Linked DNA regions of Oryzias latipes. The protein of the gene in region 4 binds, or shares a complex with, the protein of the main gene of each other region. Links are inferred from orthologs where the notes say so. Each region holds a gene or a part of one and is shown on either strand. Other genes may lie near its edges. The genes, in order: polr1b, polr2f, taf1b, taf1c, rrn3, taf1a and znrd1.

Region 1 (2,401 bases), on a different chromosome or scaffold from region 4:
GCTGGTCTTTGGTTTTTAGATTTAGGCTAAAAATGACTTCCTCCTAGTCTGAAGACCACCTGGAATGCTTTGAAAATAGATGTTCAGAGTGGGTCTCTACATTCTGACGTTCTTTGATCTTACTAGATTGTGAACAAGTCATCGTGGGAGAGAGGCTTTGCACATGGGAGCATCTACAAGACAGAATTGGTGGACCTTGCAGACAAAGTGAGGGGGGAAGATGCTGTGGTGTTTGGGACCAAGCCAGGGGACCCCAAAGTAAACGACAAGCTCGATGCTGATGGGCTCCCTCGTGTCGGATCGGTGCTTCAGTATGGTGACCCCTTTTACAGCTACATCAACCTCAACACGGGACAAAGCTGCGTCCACTTTTACAAGTAAGCGGCAAAAATCTCTGCTCCCTTCATGTTTTGTCTCAGTGGAAGTGAAAGCCATTCTGTGTGGTTTGTAGAAGCCAGGAGGCCTGTGTGGTGGACAACATCAAGATATGCAGCAACGACAGCGGCTCAGGCCAGTTCAAACGCATCTGCATTACCACCCGAGTGCCACGAAACCCCACAATTGGTGACAAGTTTGCCAGCCGCCACGGGCAGAAGGGCATCCTGAGCCGCTTGTGGCCCGCTGAGGACATGCCCTTCACGGAGAGCGGCATGACCCCCGACATCTTGTTCAACCCCCACGGCTTCCCGTCTCGAATGACCATCGGGATGCTGATCGAGAGCATGGCGGGCAAGTCTGCCGCCCTTCATGGTCGGAGCCACGACGCCACACCCTTCACCTTCTCTGAGGAGAACTCTGCGCTGGATCACTTTGGGGAATTGCTCCGGGCGGGGGGGTACAACTACTACGGGACAGAGCGGCTCTACAGTGGAGTGAGCGGTCGGGAGCTGGAGGCAGACATCTTCATCGGTGTGGTCTACTACCAGCGGCTGCGTCACATGGTCTCTGACAAATTTCAAGTCAGGACCACCGGAGCGCGGGACAAGGTCACCAACCAGCCCGTTGGAGGAAGGAACATTCAGGGAGGCATCCGCTTTGGAGAGATGGAGCGTGACGCCCTGCTGGCCCATGGCTCCTCCTTCCTCCTTCACGATCGTCTTTTCAACTGCTCCGACCGCTCAGAGGCTCAGATGTGCGTGGACTGCGGCAGCCTCCTGTCCCCGCTGCTGGAGAAGCCTCCGCCCTGCTGGTCAGCCATGCGCCACCGAAAGACCCTCTGCACGCTTTGTGGCAAAAGTGACTCCATCAACGCCGTGTCTGTTCCTTACGTCTTCCGCTACTTTGTAGCTGAACTGGCAGCGATGAACATCAAAGTAAAACTTGAGGTTAAGTGACGTGCTGCAGGATACATACGTGCCTTAAAGCCTTAGCTGTGGTTTTGAAACATTTCAGTCAAATTCTACTGAATCAGTTCTGTAAAACCATGCTGTTATCAGAACTTTGCTTGATGCAGTTCAGAGTTCAAATCCCGTAAATTCATAAGTGTTCATTGTGACGGGGTGTCAGTTCTGATGACCGCCATCAGGTTCTTCCCAATAAAGCCAAGAGGACCTGGTTGTGGACAACATGGCGGCAAGACATCACTAGCCAGAACCGGAAGTCCGGAACCGGAAGTTTACGTCCCCTCAAAACAGGAACGATCCAAAGTGGCTTTTCCCCGATATGTGTAGAATTCTTACATATCAGAGCAAAGCAGAATACGCAGATTCACGTTGATCGAAGGGTAGAAATGTAAACGCTGGAGCTTGTAGCAGTTTTACAAATCTCACTTTGTTTATATCCTTTTTTTAAATGATTATCCTTTTAGAGCCGTTTAGGCTCATGTTGGAACTGAACCATTAATTCACATGAAAAGGTTTTAATAAAAGGTGCCACACAGTGACATCCCATTGGAAGAAGAATGTTCCCAAGAGTCTGTATTCCCCACAGGATAGTGAGAGAACAGAGGAACGTCTCTATTCCTGCTCTTAACACTGGATGACCACAAGGAAAGATCTGGAAAAAGGAATTTGTCAAAAGCGTGTCAATCGTCTGGAATCTATTTGTAACAGAAGTCTTTGTTAAGCGAGGGCAGACACCCCAGTGCGGTTCCAGCTGTCGTTCCCTTACAGCCACCTGGATCAGGTGTGTTCAGCCTTTGAGGACATCCCGGGTCAATGTTGCCTCCATCTTTACCCCTGCTAGAAAAAGGATGTTTTCAACAGCACCTTATGATAACTTCTTTATTCAGTTTGTTATGAATCAGGAGCAGATGACAAAATGCCATTTGAAAACTCTTCTAGCTGTAATGTAAAACCTGCAATTGGCAGGTCACAGTCTTCCTGCTCTGCTCCATTCTGATCATTATCCATGAACGTCTTTGTTTTCTTGGTCTGAGCTAGAATCTGGATTAGAACTGGAC
Region 2 (4,254 bases), on a different chromosome or scaffold from region 4:
GTCTGTTTGGCACATTCTGTTCAAATTGTTTACAAAGTCCAGCAAGAGAAAAACGGAGTACTTTGAAATAGAAACCAATTCCTACTGATGTTATTTTTTTACCACTTTTTTAAAACCCTGTTTTAAGAAAAATATTTTTCCAAACCTGCATCACTAGAAAATGCTTAAAGTTGTTGTCCTACAGATTTCTTCTGAGACAAAATCAGCCATGCAGATTCCTGCACTATCTTTTGCTATATTTACTTTTTAGTTTTTTTTAGTAATTTGGTTAAAGGGGTTCATCAGAAAATGTATAGAAAACTGTGAAAGAGAGCAATTTTACAAGTGACATTTTTTTAAAAGGTTGTGACAAGAATCTCCTGTCAAATGTTCACTTTTATTGTAAATTATTGCAACTTGTTGTTTACTAAATTAACAAAGAATCAATTGCATATTTCATAGTTGGGCTATATTTGAAAAAAAAAAGTTTATGTGTAACCAACAAACAGGATTAATTTTGTTGTTAAAAACGTGAACATTTCTTCCTTTTTGTGTTTAGAAATTCTTACCCATCCACTGCTATATTTATAAAATAGGTAATGAAGAATTGTTTTAAAAGAAATCTCTTTTGTATAGACACATTTTATTAAATAAGTGAAGAATCTAAATGGATCTGTTCTTTGACAAAGTGCCAGCTGTTTGAGCTTAACCCTAGCAAAAAGTTGACGCTTTTATTTTTTTAAGTTTGCTTGAATATAAGTATAAAGCAAGTACGCTGTACTAAAGACCATGTTCATGTAGTGTAGAGATGAAGTATACTAACAGAATATTTCTTGAGACTGGAAATTGGAAATTTTAAGTTTACAATATCTAGATTTTATCTTGACATTATATTTTAAAAAAATAAACGTCAAGTATACTGCCTCACATTTATAAGTATACTTGTAGTACACTTAAATAGACTACTTCTTGCAATGAGTATTCTTACATAAGACAGGAAAGCACTTGCAAAAACATTTTTATGTTGTTTATTGTGAATATCTTTTCATTTGATCACGTAGGAAAATATATTAGATGAAGAGTAAAAAAAACAGAATCCAGCCTTAGCTCTGAATGTTTTTTCGCATTCGGTTGACCCAATTCTGTTCTTTAACTTTGCACTAAGTGACATGCCATTGTTACTCGTTTTCTATAAATGCAGGGCAAAAAATTAAGAATTATTAGTATTCATTTTCTCTCAAGGGTACATTAAAATAAATGTTGAAAACTATCATTTTGGTGTCTTCTTTTTCTCTAAAGGTACAGCCTTGGTTTTCCATAGTTTGATGGATTTATATTTATTTCTAGTTGAAGTTTATTTTGTTTAGGATACTTGACTATAATAGAAAGTAAGCTTTTTATATACTATTTGTTTGCTTGTTTTTAAATTGAATTAGAAAAAGGTAGGACAAAAAAAGAAATTCTAGTTGAGAAGCCGGACATAATTTTTCAGCGTACACGCGCACCGGAAGTTTAGAGACCACAACGCTCAATGTGGTTTAGCCTCTAAATTAAATTTGCTGCTAATAAACTCTATTAGTATCTATATTGGAAAAAATATAAGTTAAAACATGTCTGATAACGAAGACAAGTAAGTTGTGATCTATGTTCATCAAATAATGTCATGGTATATGTTAATTTTAAATCTATTTTAGCGTGTAGCCTGTTAGCTAAGCTAGGTTACGACTTCACCGTTTTCGGTCTTTGATACAGTTTTTGTCAACATTTGCAGCTTTGATGATGGAGACTTTGAGGACGCCGATGAGGACGAAGGATTAGACGATCTGGAAAACGTGGAAGATGTATGTTCGTCTGCACTTTTTTCATTTAGTGGATCATATTTGGGGTTCATTATTCATGATTTCTATCTGGCAGTCTAATCAGATGCTTGTTTTCCTTGGATGATCATCAGGAGGACCAGGAGAACGTACAGATCCTCCCCGCAGGAGAGGGGCAGCAGGCTAACCAGAAAAGGATTACAACACCGCACATGACCAAATATGAGAGAGCGAGAGTGCTGGGAACACGAGCCCTCCAAATAGCGTGAGTTGTTTACTGTAAAATAAGCGCTTTACTCTTCTAAACCAATAAGTTAGGCTTCCAAACATTTGTGGCTTTGTTGTTCTTCTTATTTTATTTTGCTAATTTGTCGTGTGGAGCAGCTGATCAAACAGATGAGAGCTGAAGGCCCCTGGTGTTGGACAGATTGTAATGTTACCATAGGAGTTTTGAAGCTTTGGGCAGAGGAGGTTTATGTCACTACAAACCTTTTTGTATTGAGGCTTAACTTTATTTTATTAATATTTGTGCTTATTGAACTATGCTGCATGTACCCCATCTTTGCCCCAAAACAGCTAGGATAGGCTCCTTCAGACCCTGATCTACAATAGGCCGGTTTTAGAAAAATGATGGACTTGTGTCCATTCCTTTTTGGACCGGAGAAAACGGAGAAGGATAGTGGGATATTAGGGATGGGGGGGACAAGATAGAAAAGGACATATAGAAGTTGGAGAGTCACCAAAGAAACACACCATTGCAAACAAAAAGAGACAAAACGTTGCTAGAGGTTATTTATAACTTTCACAATTAGATGTTTATGTTTATCGCACACACTGAATATTATAAACATTCCTGTTGCCCTCAAAAACCTTCACTCTTGCATATTGTCATGTACACAACACAGATAGAGATCAGATAAATATGCACCTTCATTTGCATAAAAGCAGATACAATCTCATACAAAAGTCCTTTTCTGAGCCAAGGTGAGTGGGCATTGGTGCTTAGTTTTTTTGTCTGTGTTCTACTGTGGACAATGATGGTATGAAGCGTAATGAATAAAAAAAAGGGGGGGAGCACCTGGTCGTCCCACACCAAGCCCCCCAGAATGAGGTGAGGCAGTAGCGGCAGCCAGGACCACCACAGCCAGGAGGGAATCCACCACCCCAGTGACCCGATACCAGCCATCCATACCAGAGGAGGGACTGCCGAAATAGTCCCCAGCACCAAAGAGCAAGGAGTCACAGGAGCATGGAGAATGCACGCCCTGGCCCAGCTAGAGAAAAGCCCCCCAGCTGTGCTATGGGCCCATCACGAGGTCCCAACTGGTTGCTGCAGATCACGTGTTTCAGGGACAAACAAAAAAATCTTTGCATCTCATTTTGTCAAAATGACACTGAATTACATTTCTCAGTTTTGCAGCTTTGAAGGCAGGTTCTGGGTTTGAACCTGGTTGTTGACATCTCTGTGTTTTTGTGTTTGGGCCGTTTAAGGACACACTGGTTTGAAAAGTGTGTGTGTGAATGAACAGTCCATGAATCCTCTGCCCCGCCTGTTTTCTGGCTTTAAAATAATGACATTTTACTTCAATTTGGGATTTATTTTGAGGATTTTGTCGTTGTTCTGCCGACAGCATGTGCGCTCCTGTGATGGTCGAGTTGGAGGGAGAAACAGACCCCTTGCAGATCGCCATGAAGGAACTAAAGTACATCAGATTATTCCATTTCTGTCTAAATTCTTTCATCTTGTTTTGTTCCTGGTAACTCAATGTTTGCCGTTTGTTCTGAACAGGAGCAGAAAGATCCCCATCATCATCCGCAGGTACCTCCCCGACGGCAGCTACGAGGACTGGGGCTGTGATGAGCTCATCATTACCGACTAAACAAACCTGGACTTTCAGCTGAACTTCAGAGCTTCGATGATACCAAACAGAAGCAGCAAATGCAGTCATTTTAAAACCTGCTTTGCAAGCATGAGCCAGTAGGGGGAGACATAACTTTGTTTAAACACATTTTTTTAACAAACTGAACTTTTGTTGTAAGTATTCCAAGTGTTGATTTTGATCAGAGATCATCTGTTTTATTGTTATAAATAAAGTCTTTTTTTATGATAATTTCACGGTTTCTGACTGTTATTATTAAAGTTTTAATGTCAGCATGAGTCATAGTCAGGGAAAAAATGGTCAGTTTTGGTCATTTAAAAAAAGAACCAAATCAGTTGATTAAACTTCAAGAATCATGTGGTGTTTGATTGATGCAGCTTTGATGTCAGCGGGTCTTTATTTTCCTTGAGGCTACAGCCCTTGTGGATTTGGTGAAGCCGTCAGAAAACAGACGGAGGCTCTCTCTGAGTTTATCCACGGAACCATGTGAATGAAGCAGCTCAACAGGTCGGCATTGTTCAAAGGGAGTGTTTGCCCTGGCAGAGAGACGCGCGGCGCTGGAGGAAAAACCAGTGCTC
Region 3 (2,855 bases), on a different chromosome or scaffold from region 4:
AAAGTCAGATTTAAAAATATTGCCAGAAGTGACCTGAAGGATCTGCAGGAGTCCGACAAACTGGAACCGAGGAACAACCTCACCTGGCTGTGTCCTGGTCCCTCCTCTGCTGAGCTCGGTTCAGAGCGGTCTGCATCAGTTTGTACCACCTTCGCAGGTTAAACTGGGCCCCTGTCAGAGAGAAAGCATGAGCTTGAAGAGCCCCCACCAAGAGGACTCACACACAGGGGGCACTCACGGACCCTCTCCGTCTGTGGACCTGGCGTTGTTGGACAGCTCCCTGAAACCAGGAGAACCGCAGTGAGACGACCTGTCTGTGGAATGGATGTAGGGGGGTGGGGAGGGCAGGGCAGGGGGGGTTACCATTCGGTGTGGTCGTCCAGGCCAAAGAGGAGCTTCATGGTGACGATAATGAGCGCTGCCGCCTGCAGGTCGTACCGGGGCAGGGTGGGCTGGGACTCGGGGTGGAACGTCTGGCGGCTTTCATGGAACAAACCTGCGAGCTCCGCCACTCTGCAGACCCACCTGTGCAGCTCACCTGCAGACAGGAAGGAGCCGCTCAGCCCGCGCAGCATGCATGTCTGTCTGTCAGCTGGGACGGAGGAAGCTGTTACCGGGCAGGTTTGCATCGATCAGGTAGCGCAGGCTCAGTGGCCCCGGGTGGAGCAGAGTCTGCTGGCTGATGGGAGGAAACGCTGGAAGTTGCAGGAACAGAAGCAGATCCTGAGCCTCCTTATGCAGCGAGCGGTGAGACGGTACCGTCTGCAGAGACAGTTCACCACATCGTCAACAAACAGGAGAACACAGGGCAGAGGTCAGCAGCTCACTCACTCCAGGTCGTTACCTCTGCAGTAAACAGAAGAGCATCTTTGCCGAACAGCTTCATCTGCTCTGGGAGCTGCTCATGGGCCTTCACATACGGGACGCTTCCACAGTTCACCAGTCTGAGAGCAAACACAGGATCAGCCCAACATCCAGCAGTCCAACGCCTGGTTTGGAGGAGCAGATTACCCAAGCAGGTCGCTGAGAGTCAGCGCCTCCCGGCTCCAGACCAAGGCCAAGTGGATCAGGGCCAGAGTCTTCTTCAGGCTCAGGAGTCTATGGCTCCGCCTCTGACGGGGAGTCAGGTAACAGAGGCTGTCCGCTGATCCAGACCAGTCACTGCCTGAGGGATTAGGCTACATTTCAACATACAATACTCACAATACGTCATGGATATTGTGAAAAAAACAACAAACTCAGTGGATGTGATATACACAGAGACGTGGTGAGCGATACGCCGAGGTCAAAGGTCCTCAGGGTTGGCTTTGGGGAAGGAGGTGTAACAGTCTGGACAGGTATCACCAGTCAGGGTCAAACTGATTTGGTTATTGTAAATGACCCAGTCACTGAATGTTCTAACCTCAGAGACATCATAGAACCATTCTCATCCCCCAATTCCACCAGAACACCCCCAGCTTTCTGTTCATGGATGATTACACCCTATCACATGGTACCAGTACTGTCACAGCAGGACTTCAGGAAGTGGGAGTAGCTCATGTGGTATGACCAGCAATGACCCTTGACCTGAAACCCATAGAGAACGTCTGGGACCAGCTGAAGCAGACTGGATGATGGTATCCCACCCCCAAGTGAGCTGCAGAACTACATGCAGCACTTATGGAAGATTGGTTCAGACCAACACCATGAGGTTGGTGAGGAGACGTCACTGTCAAGCTGCTGTTGATGCAAATGCTGCAAATACCCACTATTGACATTTCTGTTATTTGGGGCTATTTTTATTATTGTCCTCATTTTAGGGGTAATATTAACCTAATGAAAATGTTTTTTTCTCATTAATTTTTAGTTATTAGTAATATCTCCAACTTTCTGTCAGTAGTCTAATTCAATAATTAGATAATAATAATAATTCACTCATTTCAAAGTCAGACCCCCCTGTAGTCCCCCAGACGGCAGAGATCTGAGGTCTGGCGTCTCCATAGTCCAGTGACCAAAGACTTCATGGCTGACCCCAGCTGCTCCTGCTGGGGGAGTCAAACATACCTCCTTTAGAGCTGGGGCTGCTGCAGGGATTTGACTCTCCATCCGTCCCGCTGGCTGATGCCACAGACGCCTCGGCTGCGCTGTCTGAATCCGAGTCTGCGTCTCCCTGGGGGGGGGGGGGACAGAACAGAAGGCTGCTGCAGTCATCATCACTCTTCCTCTGAAGACATTTATGTTTGTTCCTGCATTTGAGTGGATCTAAAAATTCAGACTAAACTGATATCCCTCCAGTTATGAAAAAGCATGGAGAGCATATGAATAAATAAACATCCGTGTTAGTACTCATTGAAATCATGTATATGATTATCTCAGCACAGATTTTCAAAGGAAGGTGAGTCACAGACTGAAACTGACCACTCTGAACTTGGCGCTCCTAACTCGGTTGACGCAGTAAGCCTGCCGGCTCTTCTGCAAGTAGAGCCTCCACAGCTGACGCAGCACGCCGTCCTAAAGCGGCGAGCCACACACTGATCAGACGGGCTCAGGCATCGATGGCAGATCAATACGGACAGATTCAGACCTTGAAGTGAGGATGGACTCCCAGCCTAAGCAGGGCATCCGCCTGGTTCATCAGGATGAACTGGAAACCTTCACAGACCATCCATGTGTGACGGCCACCTGAACGACACAGAACACGTGTGAGACAAAGAAACACAAACGTTTCAGATGGGCACTGCCATCAAACTGAGAGGAACCCAAAAGCATTTTCAAAGATCTAAAACTGGAAACGAAGCAAATGTCTGAATGAGAGTTCCAGAGTTTAGAAGCAACAAGGATTCATGGAGGAGCCTGAAGATCAGAGGATGCTGGAG
Region 4 (4,096 bases):
TGCAAACATGCAGAAACCACAACACCAATCCTCATCCTCCCTTCATAATCTGCAGATGTGTTCAATGACACGCCAGGTTCCAGGAAAACAGAATGCTTACAGAAACCCAGTCAACCTTTCGTTGTTGTGTTTCAGTATTTGTTCATCTGGGATTTGTAGTTGTTGTATGTCAACGTGTCTTGCACCGTCTCGGCCACCGTAGAGGAACACTGCAGACATCTGAATTCTTCAAAGCAAACCAGCACTGAGCTGAGAAAAAACTGAGATGTCGCATCACAAACACTTCAACACAGCTGTCAGTCAACCCGCAGAGTCCGTAAGGCCCCGCACCGATTCACGCGAGGATTAGCATGCGGTAAGTCACGACCCCGGGCCGTCCCCACGGAGAAAAACACTGAACTGACCGCGTCACCTTGGAGTTTCCTTCAAACCTGATCAGTTCCAGGCAGACTCCAGAGCAGACACGGACTTCATCCTCGGAGGAAGACTACCCTAACCCCGAACCGACGCGATCCTGCGGCTGACATCCAGACGGACTCAGGGAGGGCTAGCCGCGCGACATGCTAACGCTAACCCAGACTGCAGTACGCTGACTTCCGGGTTAGCCTCCAAACCAAAACCCTCCGGAGGGGAGCGTTCAGACTCACCGGGGACCGCAGTCCAACGACGAGGCCTCAGACGCAGAGACTGCAGGAGAACCACAAGCCTTCGCCCGGATCCTTCACGCCGCTGCTCCTCAGACGGATCGATCTGTGCAGTCAGCTGATCGGTGGACGTGTGACGGCTACATCCGGTCCCGGGAAAATAAAACACCGCGGAAATATATACTGTGCTTTTAAATTGAGTTATAACCGATACAAACATGAAGTCAGACATTTTGCTGTGATGGTAGAGTTTGCATGATATCACTGTGAGTTTTCTCCCTTTGCCCCTCACAGTTTAATGTTTTATAGGTTGGTTTGCGGTTTGAACTCTTATTTTGAAGTTGTTTTTTAAACTGTTGCCATCAAACTGAATTGTTTACTTAATTAATAATAATAATAATAATAATAATAATAATAATAATAATAATAATAATAATAATAATAATAATAATAATAATATATAAATAAATAATGTTTGACCATTGTTGTTGTTATTTATGTCGAACGTTTCTGTATTAACTTTGTTGTGATATTTTATTGTAAAACGTTTTCACACCTATTAATGTCATTTGTTTGGAGGGGGTCATCCAACTTTATTCTAGGTCTATTTCTATTATTAAAAACTTTTTTTTTTCAAATGTAGCGGAAGTTCTTGTTTTGTTATTGAGTTGGACTTCCGGTTACAGTCGGAGCTTGAACACGTGTTGATCGAGGTTCTTGAAGAGCTGCGTTTGTCCGTGGTGTCTTTGGACGCCGCCGTGTTTTCACCTCGGTCTGGACGTGCGTTCGTGGGATCGAGTGGATTCCTGTCACGCGGCGGTCGCGCCGACGCAGCTTTCCTTTTGTCCGACTAACAGGCGCGCGCCGCGGAGCTAACAGCGTAGCCGAGCCGTTAGACATGTGCGGACGTGTTCCCGGGAATCACCCGCCGTGACACAAATCCGGACGCCTGGAAGTTACTTCAGCAGATCAAAAGGGATCGAATGGATCATCGGTTCCCTCTGAAACTTTTCCCTTCGTTTTACAACCACGGACCCCCGAATTCGAGGCAGAAGCCCTGCGCGGGCGGATGGGGCAGTTACGAGCGCGTCATTCCTCAGGTGGGTCATTTGGTGCAACGGCCTGCCTCATGGTGTGTCATCTCAATCATCATCCATATTCCCGAAACACGGGGCTTCGATTCCGGGACTCCACAATAAATGCACCTTAGTGTATGTCGCTTAGTTATTATGCGACATAGAAAATAATTGGTTCTTTGTCATGATAAAGACTGAAATATAAAGATGTGTTTTTGTTTTTTTACGGTCTACAAAAGGTCAGGGACTCTTTTTAAAATGAGACAGGATCATGTGCAACAAAGAATCATCACGATCCATCTGCAGCAAAATTACCTCAACGACCAAAACACTAGAAGGAGCTGCATGTCCAGCAAATCCAGGCTGAATGTTTATGTTGATGAATGTAAATGAAACTAAAGGGTAATAATTGGAATCCTGGTGTAAGGCAGGTCTGATCAGCGCAGTGGTGGAGTGAGCGTCTCTCTAGCGTTTGATGCCCATCACACCTTTTTTGCAGATTGGCAGAAAAATATCTGGTTTGCAGAAACCGCCTGAGCTTCGCTGTTTCTGTGTGTTTACAGGAAGGGGCGGGTCCTGGCTCCAGCTGGTCCTTTACCTCCAGACACCAGGTCAGCGGGGAGACGTGGCTCCACGCCGAGCCTGTGCCCGTCCCGCTCCTGTCTCCCAGAAGCGGTGAGCTGCTTTCTCCTGCAGGAGATTGAGCCTCTGCTACGAGACGAGGCATTTGATGTGATTCTATCCACTGAAACCCGTTTGTCTTCTCCGCTGGAAGAGTACGGCGGCATAGATTCATGCATAAGGAGACACTGATTGTAGAAAACTCTCTGTTGCACAGCAGGTTGATCTCACAATCGTCTGGGGAGTTTTGGAGAATCCTACAAATCAAGGCGTTCCAAGTCCCATTGGTCTTTGGATAATGGTGATTTTGTTTTTAGCCAAAATCCTGTGTCGTTTTCTAGGACATTGAATCTTCAGAGCAGCAGGAGTTCATTAGAAATTCACCTCTGCGTTGTGGGCGGGACTGTTGGCGCAGAGTAAGCACGCTGTCGTTTCCCTGGCGTACAGCCCCTCACGAATCCAAGCTAACGTTACCGTTAAAAAAAACTGTACTGTAGCTACACAGAAGTCCATTTCTGATCCAGATTCCAGCTCAGAGCAGGAAAACAAAGACGTTCATGGGTCTGTTGGTCTGCAGGTGGATGATCAGAAAGGGGCGGAGCATGGAGACTTTGGCCACGCCCAGCACATTTGTTGCTCAACAAATAAGCTCTGTATCAAATGGAATTTATCCTGATTTACAACAATTTAAATAAAGAAATACTAATTTTGTCCTCAATCATGAAAAAATGTCGGAAGAACACGTTAAACACAGAGAAGCTTTAAGCTTGTAGAGCAGCTTAAAGAGCCTTTACCTTTCCCTGAGAACCTTTCAGAGTCAACAATGTCCACATAGGACTATCTGTTACCTTTGACACAGTTCTTATGAAATATAAGTTACTTTCAGCTCATTTTCCAACCTGGAAGTAAGATGACTCGATCTCCGAGGCTCCGCCTTTCTCTCCTTGTGGGCTCCGCCCATTTCATGACATCATCCTAGTGTCTACGTTTCTCCTACGAAAACATTCAAACTTTTCCAAAGATGGATGTGCATATTGTGTATTGAAAGGAAAGCGTCTACCCGATCACCGCTAGCTTCACTGAGAGAGTGGGCGTGTCTATTAGCCTGGAGGCGGGGCTGGCAGGGCAGACTCTTCCTGAAAGGGGCGGTTCCTCACTTTGTGATGTCACAGTGTGAGAACGCACTGGTTTTGGGAGGGGCTGGTGCTCAGAGAGCAGGTTTTTAGAGGAACACTCAGACATTCATGAATGGATCCAAATACTACTTTGGGTTGTTTATAGTGAAGAATGAAGATTATAAAACACTGAAAAGCTCCACAAGTTGATTCTGCATGATAAAGACCCTTTAGAACGTTTCACCTCAGGAGAAACGGACTGAAATAACAACTTAGGATGAGAAGTTTACTGAAGTTGATCCACTGGATCACTGGAGCAGTCAGCTGATCATCAGGGGGCTGGAGAACCTTCACGTTTTCAAACAGGGAAGTGAAATGTTTGAGGCTGTTTTATTGAATACAGTGGTGTTATCTGTGAATGTCCTCTGTTCCAGCTTTTCTCCCATCTGTGACGCCTCCAGAGCCGGCAGACTTCACTGAACACGTAAGGAAGCAGCAGTTCATGCACTGACAGCCTCATATGGTTCCCTTTGATGGCAGAGCATCAGCCAAGCAGGGTTATGATCAAAGTGAGGCTGGCTCTGCTGCGTTACTCAGCAGGTCCTCTCTCTGCTCTGAGGGAAACCAAAGCCGGAGGCTA
Region 5 (4,162 bases), on a different chromosome or scaffold from region 4:
TCTGGATCCACTTTAGGACAGAGGATCCGGATCCACTTTAGGACAGGGGATCCGGATCCACTTTAGGACAGGGGATCTGGATCCACTTTAGGACAGAGGATCCGGATCCACTTTAGGACAGGGGATCCGGATCCACTTTAGGACAGGGGATCTGGATCCACTTTAGGTTAGAGGATCTGGATCCACTTTAGGACAGAGGATCCGGATCCACTTTAGGACAGGGGATCCGGATCCACTTTAGGACAGGGGATCCGGATCCACTTTAGGACAGGGGATCTGGATCCACTTTAGGACAGGGGATCTGGATCCACTTTAGGACAGAGGATCCGGATCCACTTTAGGACAGGGGATCCGGATCCACTTTAGGACAGGGGATCTGGATCCACTTTAGGACAGGGGATCTGGATCCACTTTAGGACAGAGGATCTGGATCCACTTTAGGTTAGAGGATCCGGATCCACTTTAGGTCAGAGGATCCGGATCCACTTTAGGACAGGGGATCCGGATCCACTTTAGGACAGGGGATCTGGATCCACTTTAGGACAGGGGATCTGGATCCACTTTAGGACAGAGGATCTGGATCCACTTTAGGTTAGAGGATCTGGATCCACTTTAGGTCAGAGAATCTGGATCCACTTTAGGTCAGAGAACCGGATCAGCGAGCACAAATGATGATGTGAATCGTTGTTACAGTGAATGGTTCCACCTAGGGTTGTGCCGATGGACGATATCATCGTCCATCGTGATGGGTGACTGACATCCCGATGGAGAGACCACCATCGTGATGCCACGCCCCCGCCACGTTGCGCGTCGACACCATAAGCCGCGGTTACATGTACAAAATATCTTGATGGGATCAATGGTCGGATTAGTATCCAACCGTGTACATGGGCCCAGAAAAATGTTTTCAGAATATAAAAACGTTCACTAAGGTCACAATTTCGGTCGGAATAAATCATTCGCACATGCGCAGTATTCGCACATGCGCAGTTTGAAAACCGGAAGAGGATACAACTTCCGCCGAGCGGCTTTTTTTTCCAAACTTTATTGAAGGTAACAAATCAATACAAAACGATAACAGCGGCGAGCAGCTATATACATTGACATGTCAGCTCGGTAAAATACGAGACGATCTTCTAAACGTGCTTTTAATAATGTTACGGTTATTATGAAACACCTGTTCGCTCATCATTTGAATTTTAATCCGTGTGGTCAGTGCTTTTTCTGAACGAAGCCAGGATTAGCAGTATGCTAACACGGGCTAACAACATTAGCTTTGGGTGGCGCTGCACGTAAACGTGTAAGAATAACATCAGCCTTTATTTAGTCGGGACACGACTGGAAACACAAATCCGCGTGATTGTTTGAATGTTTTCTAAGGACTGAGCGACATTTCTGCTTTGAAGCTCAAACCGCTGTGTGTGCTGACGATCCGAACTGTGCTCAGACACACGTTTAGACCCGGTTCTGAGTTCGGTAGCTAGTACCCCTAGAGCTGCGGGACGGATCGCAGTCTTAAATCTCCCACACATACCGCTCATGTACCCCCCCCCCCCCTTCCCATCAAACATAAAGCTGTAAATCCGCCCTCCGCCGGTCAACTTCACTAGTTAAGTGCGGGAGCGGACCACTTCTTTTCTATTTTGCTTGTTACTTTTTCTGTTAAAGTCACTTCCCCTCAGTTTATACTGGATCATTGCGGATTAACCATTAGTTGGGAAATAAAATGAAAAAAGCAAAATAACGAATAGCAGTTATATAAGAACGAAAAATGTAAAAATACCCCCCCCCCCCCCCCCCGACGATGTCATCGTCCATCCCGATGGTTGACAGCAAACATCGTCAACGGCCAAATTAGGGGACATCGCCCAACCCTAGTTCCACCCAGAATGGAATATTCACAGATGTTTAATGAGGAAATCAACAGGAGGATTTCCTCTCCCAGAACTCTCTGCATCTCACCAGAACGGTATGGACCAGCTGCTCGTGGTCCTTCTTCAACAAGGTGACGCAGCTCCTGAACTCCTGCAGCCAGCTGATGATCTGAGCGTCCTGTGAGGAGCAGAGGAGCAGCTCAGTACCAACCATCCAACGGGACCAGTCGGCCCAATACCGGAACCCACCTTAATGTCTGGATCTGCCAGCTGATGCTGCAGCAGCTCATAATCACCAAAGTCCCCCTGTAGAACCGAACAGAACATCAACAACCACCAACCAAGATTCTAGTAGAACAGTTCAGGATCAGTTGCATCCTAATGCACACCAGCTTTGTGTTTTTTAGTATCTCCGCAACCAATTTTACAATTCAATGCGAATCAATTTACTTTAAATTCAAACATTAGAAAATACCTCCATAATGCTTTCTTTTTATTTAAATATGCAGCCACGTCACAACTTAATGGAACGGACTGACAACCGGACCAAAGCTTCAGTCTGCGGCGGAAACGAGTACCTGCCGGTGCTTCTCTAACGTCTCGGCCACGCTGCCCCCGAACCGGACCGTTTTCAGCGGGTCAGAGTTCAGGAAGTCCCTGTTAGTGTTCCCCTCCATGGTGGGTGCACGCGCCACCGGCAGCTGGGTTCCCGTCGCTAAAACAGCCGCGCGGACGAAGGCGCGCGGCCCCGCGGCATTCTCTCTGATGTCTTCTCGCTGTAGCTCCTCGATAACGAAAGTTCTACAACATCTGAAACAAACAGAACCAGAACCGACACGAGTCTGAGCGCGTCACCCCCTTTTTACACTACAGCCGGGAAGCAGCGGCGTGCTGGGGACGTGTTTACGTGAGGGACCGGTGTCACACTAAAAGATCTCCGGGAAGAGTTTTTTCCTCACAGTTCCTGCCTTCTTTATTTTTTAGAACAAACATAAAATGATTGAAAGTATATTTTTCAAAGTGACTGTCATTGATTTTAAGTAATTTCTTTTTGTCTAACAACTGTTAAAACTGTAAGATGCAGTAAAGAAAGATGAACATTTACTGATGAAAGGATTTTCTTCAGTTGATCCAACATTCAAGAAATACACGTATTACAGTATTGTAGCAATGCATCAATGACGGAAGCGGAGAGACAAGATAGGAGGATCTCTAGGCTTTATTTTTTTGAACTCAGTGCAAAAAAGAAGTAACCACAACAGGATTAAATAACTAAGAGTGAACAGCCATAAAACAGCCAGATGGAAGGACACACAGGCAAAATAAACCCCGTACTCAACCCAAACGTGACCAGAGCAGGCCAAGCGGATTATATCCCACAATTCCCCGCGCTGCCAGCTCCGACAGCAATGTGCGCGTGACCGCCACTACACTATTATGCTGGAACTGTTTCAGGAGTGGAAAAATTGCATTTAACCTTCTCTCAAAACAAACAAACTTTATGATACAACATTCTAAATAAAACTAAAAATAATATATACTCTATACACAGTGACGTGCAGTCAGGAGAGGCAGGTGCCTCACCTGTCATTATGGGAAGAAAAGAGAAAAAATAAATTCAATTATATTTAATCAGTAATTTGTGCTTTGCAGTCATTTTCCATTTAAATGTACCATTTTTGGGTGTTTTTTCTTTTCAAAATCGCTGAATTTCCGCATTTGCCGTTCAGATACTAAGAAGTGACGTGCGATGAGGCACCAGCCCGCTGAGCCTCACCTTGGATTGCGCAATACCTATGCAGTCAGACGGCACTGCTGTCTCTCTGTATGTCGGTTCAATCACTTGTACTATATCAGCTGAGTTTACATAATTTAGCAGATGTATATGATGTACAGTGTTTTCTTTTATAAATAACTGTATGTGGGGGACGTGTTTCCTGTGCTGAGCGCTAAACCCCGGCAAAAAACTCGCTGGGTGAGGCCAGCAGTTCTCGTGCCTCATGTTAGGGGCGCCGGTGAGCCCTGAGATTATGAATAAGTGATAGCAAGCGGCAAGTCATTTTCTTCAGAAGGAGCGGCGTATGAACTTTATTTACAAGTAAAGGTAAGACGATAATAACGTTTGTGCTTTTTTTTATGCTGCAGTTTGTGTATGAAAAAAAAACATGTTGAAATGATATTTTAAACAAAACACGTTAACTGTTGTCAATTAAATGGTGAATAAGTTACTCAGTATGGTTCATATGTTTGTAAATCTGACTGATGACGTCAGTGCCTCACCAGCCATT
Region 6 (4,003 bases), on a different chromosome or scaffold from region 4:
GGCAACAGGTCAAGAGATAAGCCGTGGTTTATGGCTAGCTCCCGTATCAGGATCAACGGAAGGGAACGCCGCATCCATGAAGCCGCGTCCCTCCCCAGCTCTGCAGGCAAACTTACTGCTGCACTCCTCGTCTGCGCATCTTTTAAAGTCAGAGAATCTCCTCTCCAAGGCTGCAGTTGGTATTAAATAAAATAAAACTAATAATAAAAAGCCTAGACGGTAAAAATGTTTTGCTGCCATGTTGGCAGTTAGTGTAGCCGGACTTGACTCCGCCGCCGCCGGAGCATGAGCAGTGGGACGCAGGAGCTGACACGTCAGCAGTTAAGATCCGGCTGGGTGGAGGCCCGGACGGGTTCGCATCGATGGATGAGGCGGATTCAGGTACCTGAGAATCAGCCTCAGGTCCACACCAGAATAAACACGAAGACTGGAAAGCACGACCTCATTCTCTAATGTGTTTGTGTGTGTGGCCACATTCAAATTACTCACTTAGCTCCAATAACAAACCACTGAACATTATTTTCTGAGCAAAAGTAACGCAATTACGAGGAAATAGTAAAATAACTCACTGAAAAACATTGTAGAAGACTTCCTTATATTGAAAGTAAAGATAAATAATTACTACTAGGTTTAAAAAATGACATGGTTAAAAATAAGCTTCATACCGTGACATTGTAAAAATATCAACTCAAAATAATTTTTACGTGTTCTATTAATATTAGTTTTATTTATTTTTTTTTAGAAAACTTACATGTATATGTTTCTTCAATTTCAAAATAATAAAAATTTCAGTAAAACAAAACATTGACTAAAATAAAAAATAGGTTTTGAGAGAATAAATAAATCTTGCTAACACTGTAGCTTTCTTACTTTGTGATTTAAAATGCATTTTTTGCTCTTAGCACAAGTAGTGGATACATTTACAAATACTGTCAACAAGTACACACTACTGTATTTCCGAAGAGAGAAGAGGGAAAAAGAGATCGAAGCCCATTTACTTCTTCAAAAAAAATATTTGGCAAATCTTTTTGCAGTAGTTACAATTTTGGCTCTTTCTTTGCCTTATATTTTAGTAAGTAGTTTATTATTATTGATTAAGTAAGGAACTCTGAGACCGTGAAAAGTCACGTGGAGGAAACCCCCTGCTCCGCCCCGCCTCCTTGGGTTGATTCAGCCAATAGCAAGACAGATTCACAATCTACTTCCTGAGCTGCACCGGAAGTGTGGTGGCTACAAACATCTCACATGTGTAGCAAGAATTACGTTTTTTTTTGTTATTTAAATCAGAAATATCAATTTAGTGCCAAGCATACTCTTTTATTTAGACACCATTTAGGTAAAACCTATTTCCGTAAGATAAGACCTTAATTTCATCCTAATTTGACGCTTATTTTCGAGTAGGGTAACTTCAACACAGTGAGCCTCAGTGGGGCTAGTCTGGCCAGGTAAGCAAATCAAATGTCAGCTACTAGTTCAGGGCTCGACATAGCCATTTGTCCGCTGGCCCGGTCCTGTTTTTCGAGCAGTGCGGACCACAAGACTTTACTTTTCACTTGTCCGCTCGGGCCACTAAAATATCTAACTGTTTATATATTCTTCACCTTTTTCAATAAAGTAAATTTTGCGAAAACGTGTAGATTTACCTCGTCTTCATAATTTAGTTTTTCTGCTAGTCCTGTGTTCAGACTTCAAAGGTTTCTATGGGAAACCTTTGATCACTTCTCCTTCTCTCCCGCCTGCGCGCGCGCGGCTTTCACTGCGGAGCACCACGCGGCACGCGCTCACTACTTTTTTTTTCAAACTTTATTGAATGTAACAATTCAATACAAAACAATGTTAAACAGCAACAACGAAGGCACAAGCCAGTGGGTTATTATTACATTTGATTATAAATCCGACACCGTCACTGAAGAGAGACTGAAGCATGTCAGAGATGTGGAAGACATGGCAGGAATAGATAGGAATATGTTAGATGGAGTAATGGGTGGAATTAGTACTATGGACAGCAAGATATTTAATGAATGCATTGAAGATGAAACTGTATGCACTAAGCTTTAAGCTGAATGTCAAAGAATCAAAGGCAACTCCAAATACCTGAATCTCAGACTCAAATGCAGTAGAATGTTAAACTACTTAATTTTACTTAAAGTAGAAATACTTACTGTAAGCAGTAAGTATTTCTAGTTAGCTGAATGATCTCAGTTAGACCTGCACAATATGAGGAAAACTCGCGATATGCGATATCAGAGATTAAAATTGCGATAACGATATAATTTGCGGTATATAAACAAACAGAAAAATAACCAAATAACCATTCCCAGTTTAAAAATTATACTCCAAATGACCCACGTTGACATAGGTTACAAACATCTAACATAACAGGGCTCCATCTGATTGGTCAACAATGTGAAGGCGTCCATCCGATTGGTCAAATGCATTAAGGGATTTACTTGATTCGTTAAATGGTTCAAGCTGCCATTAGATTGTTTTAACACATTTAAGGTTTATGATTTATTGTGATATTTGCCGTTAGAAGCACCATGAAAACTTCTGAACTAGTGTTACCTACTACACTGCAGTGCTCTCTTCAAAACATCTGAAACAGACTAGAGCAGATTTAAGTTTGATATGGTCTATTTTCAGTCATTGAAAAGTGTAGAAATAAGTGATGTCACCAGAATGCACCAAATTGCACCATATTAAAAGTTTCCGGGGGGGCATGCCCCCGGACCCCCCTAAAGTTGCAAGCACCTGCGGAGCGGCGGGTCCCGCTATGCGCGGTGTCGGGCCAGTAACTTTCAGGCAGGGCCAGTAAGTTTCAAAAACTACTGGCCCTGTGGGCCAGTGCAAATTTCTGGGCTATGTCAACCCCTGTAGTTATGATTGTGTTGTACACCTAAAAATCTGCAGACAGTTGGTCATAAGTGACACGTTATTTAGTTCTAGAAGAGCATCTTTGTGATTTTTAAAATGTTCATAAAACAGAAAAATTGTAATGTCAAAGGACCTGTTTGCTACTTTTTGCTTTACTGTCTCTCATTGTTTTTCTCCTCGTAGGTTGAAGAGCCATAACTTTTAGCCAAACATGGACGACCTGGAGAAAGAACTGAACCCTCGTGAAGACATGGAGAATGATGATGATGATGCTGATGACTCCTGTGACAACAGCTCTAGAAAAGAAGGAAGCTCATTCAAGTTAGATTTGATCCAACCAATTTGTCAAAGTAAGACACACTTTATATTCCATAAAAGTGCGTTTTCCCCTCTAATTCTCTTTAAAAAAATATGGGTTTATGAGCATATGTCAGATAACACCATACAGATTGTCATTAAAACGGTATTTTTTAAGTAAACATCTTCAGAAATCACTGAAAAGATTATACTTATCATGAAAACATATGTCATCTACATTTTATTGCAATAATAAACAAACCCTAATTGGCTGAATTATTCTACATTAGCCAAAAAATGATATTTTTGTTTGGAACTCATTAATTTGTAAGTTTTACTTAAATAATTTCAGAGACTCTGCACGAAAATGGATTTCACCAGAGCGTCAGACTGTGCCTGGAGTACATCAGAGAAGCCATGCTTCATCACAGGTGGCTGGAGGCAGCAGAGTACATGGCCAGCTATGCACAAATATTAGAGGACAGAGTTAATCTCACAGCACAGCAATACAAAGAGGCAAGTTTGCTTTTGCGTCTTCACCAAATGTGTGTATCTTAAAAAGAAGGTAAATTTAATATCTTCTTGTAGCTTGTTTGGAGAATCAGCACTGAGATCCTTCACCATCATCCCAAATCTACGATGGATGACTACAATGTCATATATGAACGGATGAAGCATTCAGGATTTAAACATTATCTAAAGGTGTGTTAAAACGAGCCCTTGTCCTCTTTTGAACATAATTTTTCCTCTAAATTCTGCAATTTTCTTCTTCTTTTTTTTTAGATTTCTCTGGAACATTCATTCCACTTAATGCTTCATGGTCAGATAGAAG
Region 7 (3,811 bases), on a different chromosome or scaffold from region 4:
AGTTTTGAAATGGATTAGCTGCAGATTTGGACTTTTGGTCAGTTTAAAGGTGTTTAGACAAAGTTCTGACCAGAAGCTTTAATCTGTGCTGATGCTCAAATCCGCATCCCATTTTGTTGTCGGAAGTGAAATATTATTATCTAAATTACATAAAAGTTTGTATATTTTGGAGAGAGTTTTTTTCATTGAGAAATTAATCAGAGTGGTAACTACGTCTGGTAGCTTGAAATCGTTGTCTCTGTATTTAAACTTTTTAGTAATAATTGATTTAAGTTGCTGATATTCCAAGAAGTTATTTATTCCATGTTTGTCTTGAAGTTCCTGGGGAGTTATGAATCTACTATCAATAATTATGTGCTCTAGTTGTTTTATGCCCCCTGCTTGCCAATTTATGTCGATTTAAATAGGCAAGCAGGTTGTTTTTATTTTATCAGGTTGTAATTTATTTTTAAAAACCTTGTTTAAATCTAATTTTGTCTTGAGGCTGTGGGCAAAGATATAAATACGGATTAATTGCCTTGTGTGTGAAACTGGAGGCTCAATTTTTTACAGATCGGAATTTAATTACAATTATTTGAGAGGAAACTGCAAAAAACTACATGTAGATATGCAATTGTGGCCAGAAGTACAAACAGGATTTACCAGGAAAAGCATTAATTCCTAGGAAAAATAAAGGAGGCTATTCAATTAAATTGTTGCCAGCTTGAATACTTAAATGCAAAAGCTCCCAGGTGAACTGATAATTCCTAAATTTGCTAAACATCTGAAATTATTAGAAAAACTCAATAATGAACAATGCCACAAATGCAATATTACAAGATAATACTGCTGTGAGAAATAACAAAAAAACAACTAAATATGTTGAGCAACCAAAGGAATTTGATGCAAGCTAAGTGCTTAATTTGCTAAATACATTTTAAAATTATTTTTTTTAAAATAATGGATTTAAAAAGACAGAAAAACCATCAAACATTTGCGAGAAAGGAAACAAAATGACATTTATTAATTCGATTTTTGGCTAACTGAAACATTAGAGGTGAAAATATCTGGATTAAAACACACTTATAAAGTTACAGTAGTCTAAAACCTTCATATAACTTACAACAGTAGTAAGTGATGAATTTATAAGAGTCAACTACGAATAAATAAGGTCTTTTGAGTTGTAAAACGTTGGAACATCCTTAAAATTTAGGGTCAAATGAAGGAAAACTACAATGGTGTCATTCACATTTCTGTCCACTACGAGGCGCTCGTGTTTACGTGACATTACCATCTTCTAGTTAACATGAAGAAGAAGAGCGCACAACAACACCCAATGCGGGCGAGGAGAAAGTAAATTATTGTCTGTTTTTGTGCAAACAGCCATCGATCAGGTAATTATCCTCAAATCACTCCTCCGAGAGCCCGCGCGCGCCCACCCACGTGCCTGCAAGTTAGCATGATGTGTTAGCTATCTGTCTGTCGGACTGTTGTTGTGTCACGTGCTCTGAACATAGCCGCCGCGCTTCCTCAGAACCAGAGCAAATGTCTTCAAACGGCCGCGACCCCAACTTCTGTCAGGATTGTGGCAGCGTCCTGCCGTTGCCAGGACTGTCCGACACGGTGCGCTGCCCTCGCTGCTGTCTCTGCACGCCCGTGACAGGTAAGCGGTCCACGCCGCCATGAGAGTCTGCCTGCTCTGCTGCTGGTTCATGTCCCTCAAGAACCGAATGGCTTTTAAGCACCAAGAGTACAGTCAAAACTACCGGTTTACTGAAAATGAGGCACTCAGTCTGACATTTCCCTCCATTTTTTATTTGTTTTTGATCAGCAACTACCTTTAAGTTCACATTATGTGTAAGTTCTTCCTTGATTTTTTAGTTTCTCTGATTTGACTGCCCTCCTTTCTTAATGACTAGTATGCTTTAACAAGAATGGGAAATAAAAAGCAACCACCTAAAACTGCTCAAATGAAACATTTCAGACAAATCAATTTAGCATATGATCAACATCAGTCATTGAATTTCTTCCTCAGCCGGTCTGTGGAGCAGTGATGAGACAGTAACCTCTGCTGGGCTCACTCCTCCTCCCTGGGAAGGCCTCATATTGGGGTTGGAGATCCACTGGCAGCTCATACATGTGTCCTTTACCACGTGACACTATCACAGGTCATGGGAAGGATGTTGAGGATTCAGAAGAACTCTGTTGCTGAAAGTTACTCTTAATGCTTTCATGAAATTATTTGAGCCAGTCTGCACTGACAAAAGGGTTCTCCTGATGTCTCTCTAACAGGTCTAATCTGTCCAATCCTCTAACTGTGCTGCTTTTGCTCTGCAGAGTTCTTGGGAAGAGAAATTCAGTCTGGGGTTATCTTCAACCCCGCTGAGCAGACCTTGCTGGCTCTGGAGGATGAGGAGAACTCAGAGCTGAAGGGCCCTGTGGTAAAAGCAGCCGTCCGCTCAGCAGTGGAGCGTTCGTTGTCGCGGTAACGCCTCACGGTTTGCTTCTTGCCTTGCTTGCAGATTGACCGACGCTGCACTCGCTGCAATAAGGAAGGCATGATCTACCACACTAGGCAGATGAGATCTGCAGATGAAGGACAGACGGTCTTCTTCACCTGCATCCACTGCAGGTAGGTGGCGTCAGCGTGACCCTCCTGTCCTGCTGTACGGTTCTGGAGCTGACCGGTCTTTGTCTTGTTTCAGGTTCCAGGAAAAGGAGGACTCCTGAGAAAAGCTTTTGCTTACTATCTGATCACAATCACCTCAACTCTGGTTCTGTTTTGATCCAGGGAGCTGCTTTTTTGTAGTGATGAGCTGTTTCTGTTTGTTAAACTGAACTTGTGCATGTTCTGGTGCACGTGTTGGTCCTCTCCACCTTTGTCACACATGACACTGGTCAGTTCATCGGGACTCTACAAGAAAAAAAACAGGAATCGATGTCTCAGATTTAAACTGCAGCCACGGAGGCTCAGGACAATCAGGTATACATTTTACACAAGTCAACTAAAGTGAAGGAGCAGGACAGCAACTCAGCAAACTAACCAGAAACAATAAAACTGTATCAGCTGTTTATATTTATTTTTCCTGAAGCATACCCTGATTCTCAACTGGACAGCTGTTAGTACTTGCGCGCATTTTCTCAGAAAATGATCTCTTTATAGTTTGATTAATTTCTTTAAAACTCTTGTCAAAGACCAGAAAACTGTCATCCTATGTTTTTATAAAGTATTCTACCAAATTTGAACTGTTGTATCCAGTAAGGCTTCAACTTACATCTCACATGGCTGTTAAATTGTTCTTTAAATGATAAAGAACGCTCTTGGTATCTGACATGTTCTTTTTGTTGATTTATTGAAGCAGAATGGTAAACGGCGTATACTTATTTAGCCCCTTAACTATCTTCTTGGAGCATTTTACAGTCACAGTTCCATTCACCCATGAACACACACACTGATTGTGGCTCAGCTACCAAACCATGTTGCCAACCTATAACCCCCAGAAGCAAGGTGGGGTTCAGTGTCTTAACCTTGGACACATGGGCGGGTAGGGTGGGAATTAAACCTGCAACCTCTTGATCAGGGGTTGACCGCTCTACTTCTGCACCACAACTGCCCTGTTAAGTTGCCAGCAGCATTTAGAAAAAAACAGTTCAACCTCCTTGGTCTAGTTTGGTCCTCCTGGGCCTCAGTAGCTCTCCATCATACCTATACCCCCCCCCCCCCCCCAATCTCTCTCTAAAGCCTTTTTAATAACTGCCCCCCTCATCTATTATCCACAGGAGATGCACAAGCAGGCAAGCTATTTGGCATAAAAGTAAACTCTTACAAAAA

What was found.
Region 1: taf1c (region 4) and polr1b share a complex: the UniProt entries of both Homo sapiens proteins name them as parts of the pol I pre-initiation complex. The link is inferred for Oryzias latipes from reciprocal best matches to the Homo sapiens genes TAF1C and POLR1B.
Region 2: taf1c (region 4) and polr2f share a complex: the UniProt entries of both Homo sapiens proteins name them as parts of the pol I pre-initiation complex. The link is inferred for Oryzias latipes from reciprocal best matches to the Homo sapiens genes TAF1C and POLR2F.
Region 3: taf1c (region 4) and taf1b share a complex: the UniProt entries of both Homo sapiens proteins name them as parts of the transcription factor SL1/TIF-IB complex. The link is inferred for Oryzias latipes from reciprocal best matches to the Homo sapiens genes TAF1C and TAF1B.
Region 5: taf1c (region 4) and rrn3 share a complex: the UniProt entries of both Homo sapiens proteins name them as parts of the pol I pre-initiation complex. The link is inferred for Oryzias latipes from reciprocal best matches to the Homo sapiens genes TAF1C and RRN3.
Region 6: taf1c (region 4) and taf1a share a complex: the UniProt entries of both Homo sapiens proteins name them as parts of the transcription factor SL1/TIF-IB complex. The link is inferred for Oryzias latipes from reciprocal best matches to the Homo sapiens genes TAF1C and TAF1A.
Region 7: taf1c (region 4) and znrd1 share a complex: the UniProt entries of both Homo sapiens proteins name them as parts of the pol I pre-initiation complex. The link is inferred for Oryzias latipes from reciprocal best matches to the Homo sapiens genes TAF1C and POLR1H.

Annotation. Positions count from the first base shown.
Region 1 is NC_019873.2:3,644,806-3,647,206, reverse strand, and holds the end of polr1b (DNA-directed RNA polymerase I subunit RPA2), read left to right. Parts: intron 1-126; coding exon 127-377; intron 378-451; coding exon 452-1,334; 3' UTR 1,335-1,901; downstream 1,902-2,401. UniProt on the Homo sapiens protein: Catalytic core component of RNA polymerase I (Pol I), a DNA-dependent RNA polymerase which synthesizes ribosomal RNA precursors using the four ribonucleoside triphosphates as substrates.
Region 2 is NC_019866.2:19,813,471-19,817,724, forward strand, and holds polr2f (DNA-directed RNA polymerases I, II, and III subunit RPABC2), read left to right. Parts: upstream 1-1,454; 5' UTR 1,455-1,589; coding exon 1,590-1,609; intron 1,610-1,750; coding exon 1,751-1,820; intron 1,821-1,930; coding exon 1,931-2,061; intron 2,062-3,427; coding exon 3,428-3,499; intron 3,500-3,585; coding exon 3,586-3,676; 3' UTR 3,677-3,907; downstream 3,908-4,254. UniProt on the Homo sapiens protein: DNA-dependent RNA polymerase catalyzes the transcription of DNA into RNA using the four ribonucleoside triphosphates as substrates.
Region 3 is NC_019882.2:22,300,544-22,303,398, forward strand, and holds part of taf1b (TATA box-binding protein-associated factor RNA polymerase I subunit B), read right to left. Parts: intron 2,662-2,855; coding exon 2,564-2,661; intron 2,491-2,563; coding exon 2,398-2,490; intron 2,150-2,397; coding exon 2,044-2,149; intron 1,166-2,043; coding exon 1,012-1,165; intron 945-1,011; coding exon 845-944; intron 763-844; coding exon 615-762; intron 539-614; coding exon 364-538; intron 281-363; coding exon 243-280; intron 172-242; coding exon 84-171; intron 1-83. UniProt on the Homo sapiens protein: Component of RNA polymerase I core factor complex that acts as a GTF2B/TFIIB-like factor and plays a key role in multiple steps during transcription initiation such as pre-initiation complex (PIC) assembly and postpolymerase recruitment events in polymerase I (Pol I) transcription.
Region 4 is NC_019870.2:29,159,904-29,163,999, forward strand, and holds the start of taf1c (TATA box-binding protein-associated factor RNA polymerase I subunit C), read left to right. Parts: upstream 1-1,296; 5' UTR 1,297-1,627; coding exon 1,628-1,744; intron 1,745-2,283; coding exon 2,284-2,395; intron 2,396-3,890; coding exon 3,891-3,940; intron 3,941-4,096. UniProt on the Homo sapiens protein: Component of the transcription factor SL1/TIF-IB complex, which is involved in the assembly of the PIC (pre-initiation complex) during RNA polymerase I-dependent transcription.
Region 5 is NC_019866.2:25,544,614-25,548,775, forward strand, and holds the start of rrn3 (RNA polymerase I-specific transcription initiation factor RRN3), read right to left. Parts: upstream 2,801-4,162; 5' UTR 2,552-2,800; coding exon 2,453-2,551; intron 2,181-2,452; coding exon 2,124-2,180; intron 2,053-2,123; coding exon 1,963-2,052; intron 1-1,962. UniProt on the Homo sapiens protein: Required for efficient transcription initiation by RNA polymerase I (Pol I). Required for the formation of the competent pre-initiation complex (PIC).
Region 6 is NC_019882.2:5,957,730-5,961,732, forward strand, and holds the start of taf1a (TATA box-binding protein-associated factor RNA polymerase I subunit A), read left to right. Parts: upstream 1-1,203; 5' UTR 1,204-1,445; intron 1,446-3,057; 5' UTR 3,058-3,085; coding exon 3,086-3,224; intron 3,225-3,523; coding exon 3,524-3,687; intron 3,688-3,759; coding exon 3,760-3,873; intron 3,874-3,954; coding exon 3,955-4,003. Other genes in the region: mia3 (transport and Golgi organization protein 1 homolog), read right to left, coding at 117-240. UniProt on the Homo sapiens protein: Component of the transcription factor SL1/TIF-IB complex, which is involved in the assembly of the PIC (pre-initiation complex) during RNA polymerase I-dependent transcription.
Region 7 is NC_019869.2:21,549,317-21,553,127, forward strand, and holds znrd1 (DNA-directed RNA polymerase I subunit RPA12), read left to right. Parts: upstream 1-1,251; 5' UTR 1,252-1,373; exon of another isoform or gene 1,374-1,513; 5' UTR 1,514-1,524; coding exon 1,525-1,642; intron 1,643-2,316; coding exon 2,317-2,420; intron 2,421-2,501; coding exon 2,502-2,611; intron 2,612-2,684; coding exon 2,685-2,709; 3' UTR 2,710-3,311; downstream 3,312-3,811. UniProt on the Homo sapiens protein: Core component of RNA polymerase I (Pol I), a DNA-dependent RNA polymerase which synthesizes ribosomal RNA precursors using the four ribonucleoside triphosphates as substrates. Can mediate Pol I proofreading of the nascent RNA transcript.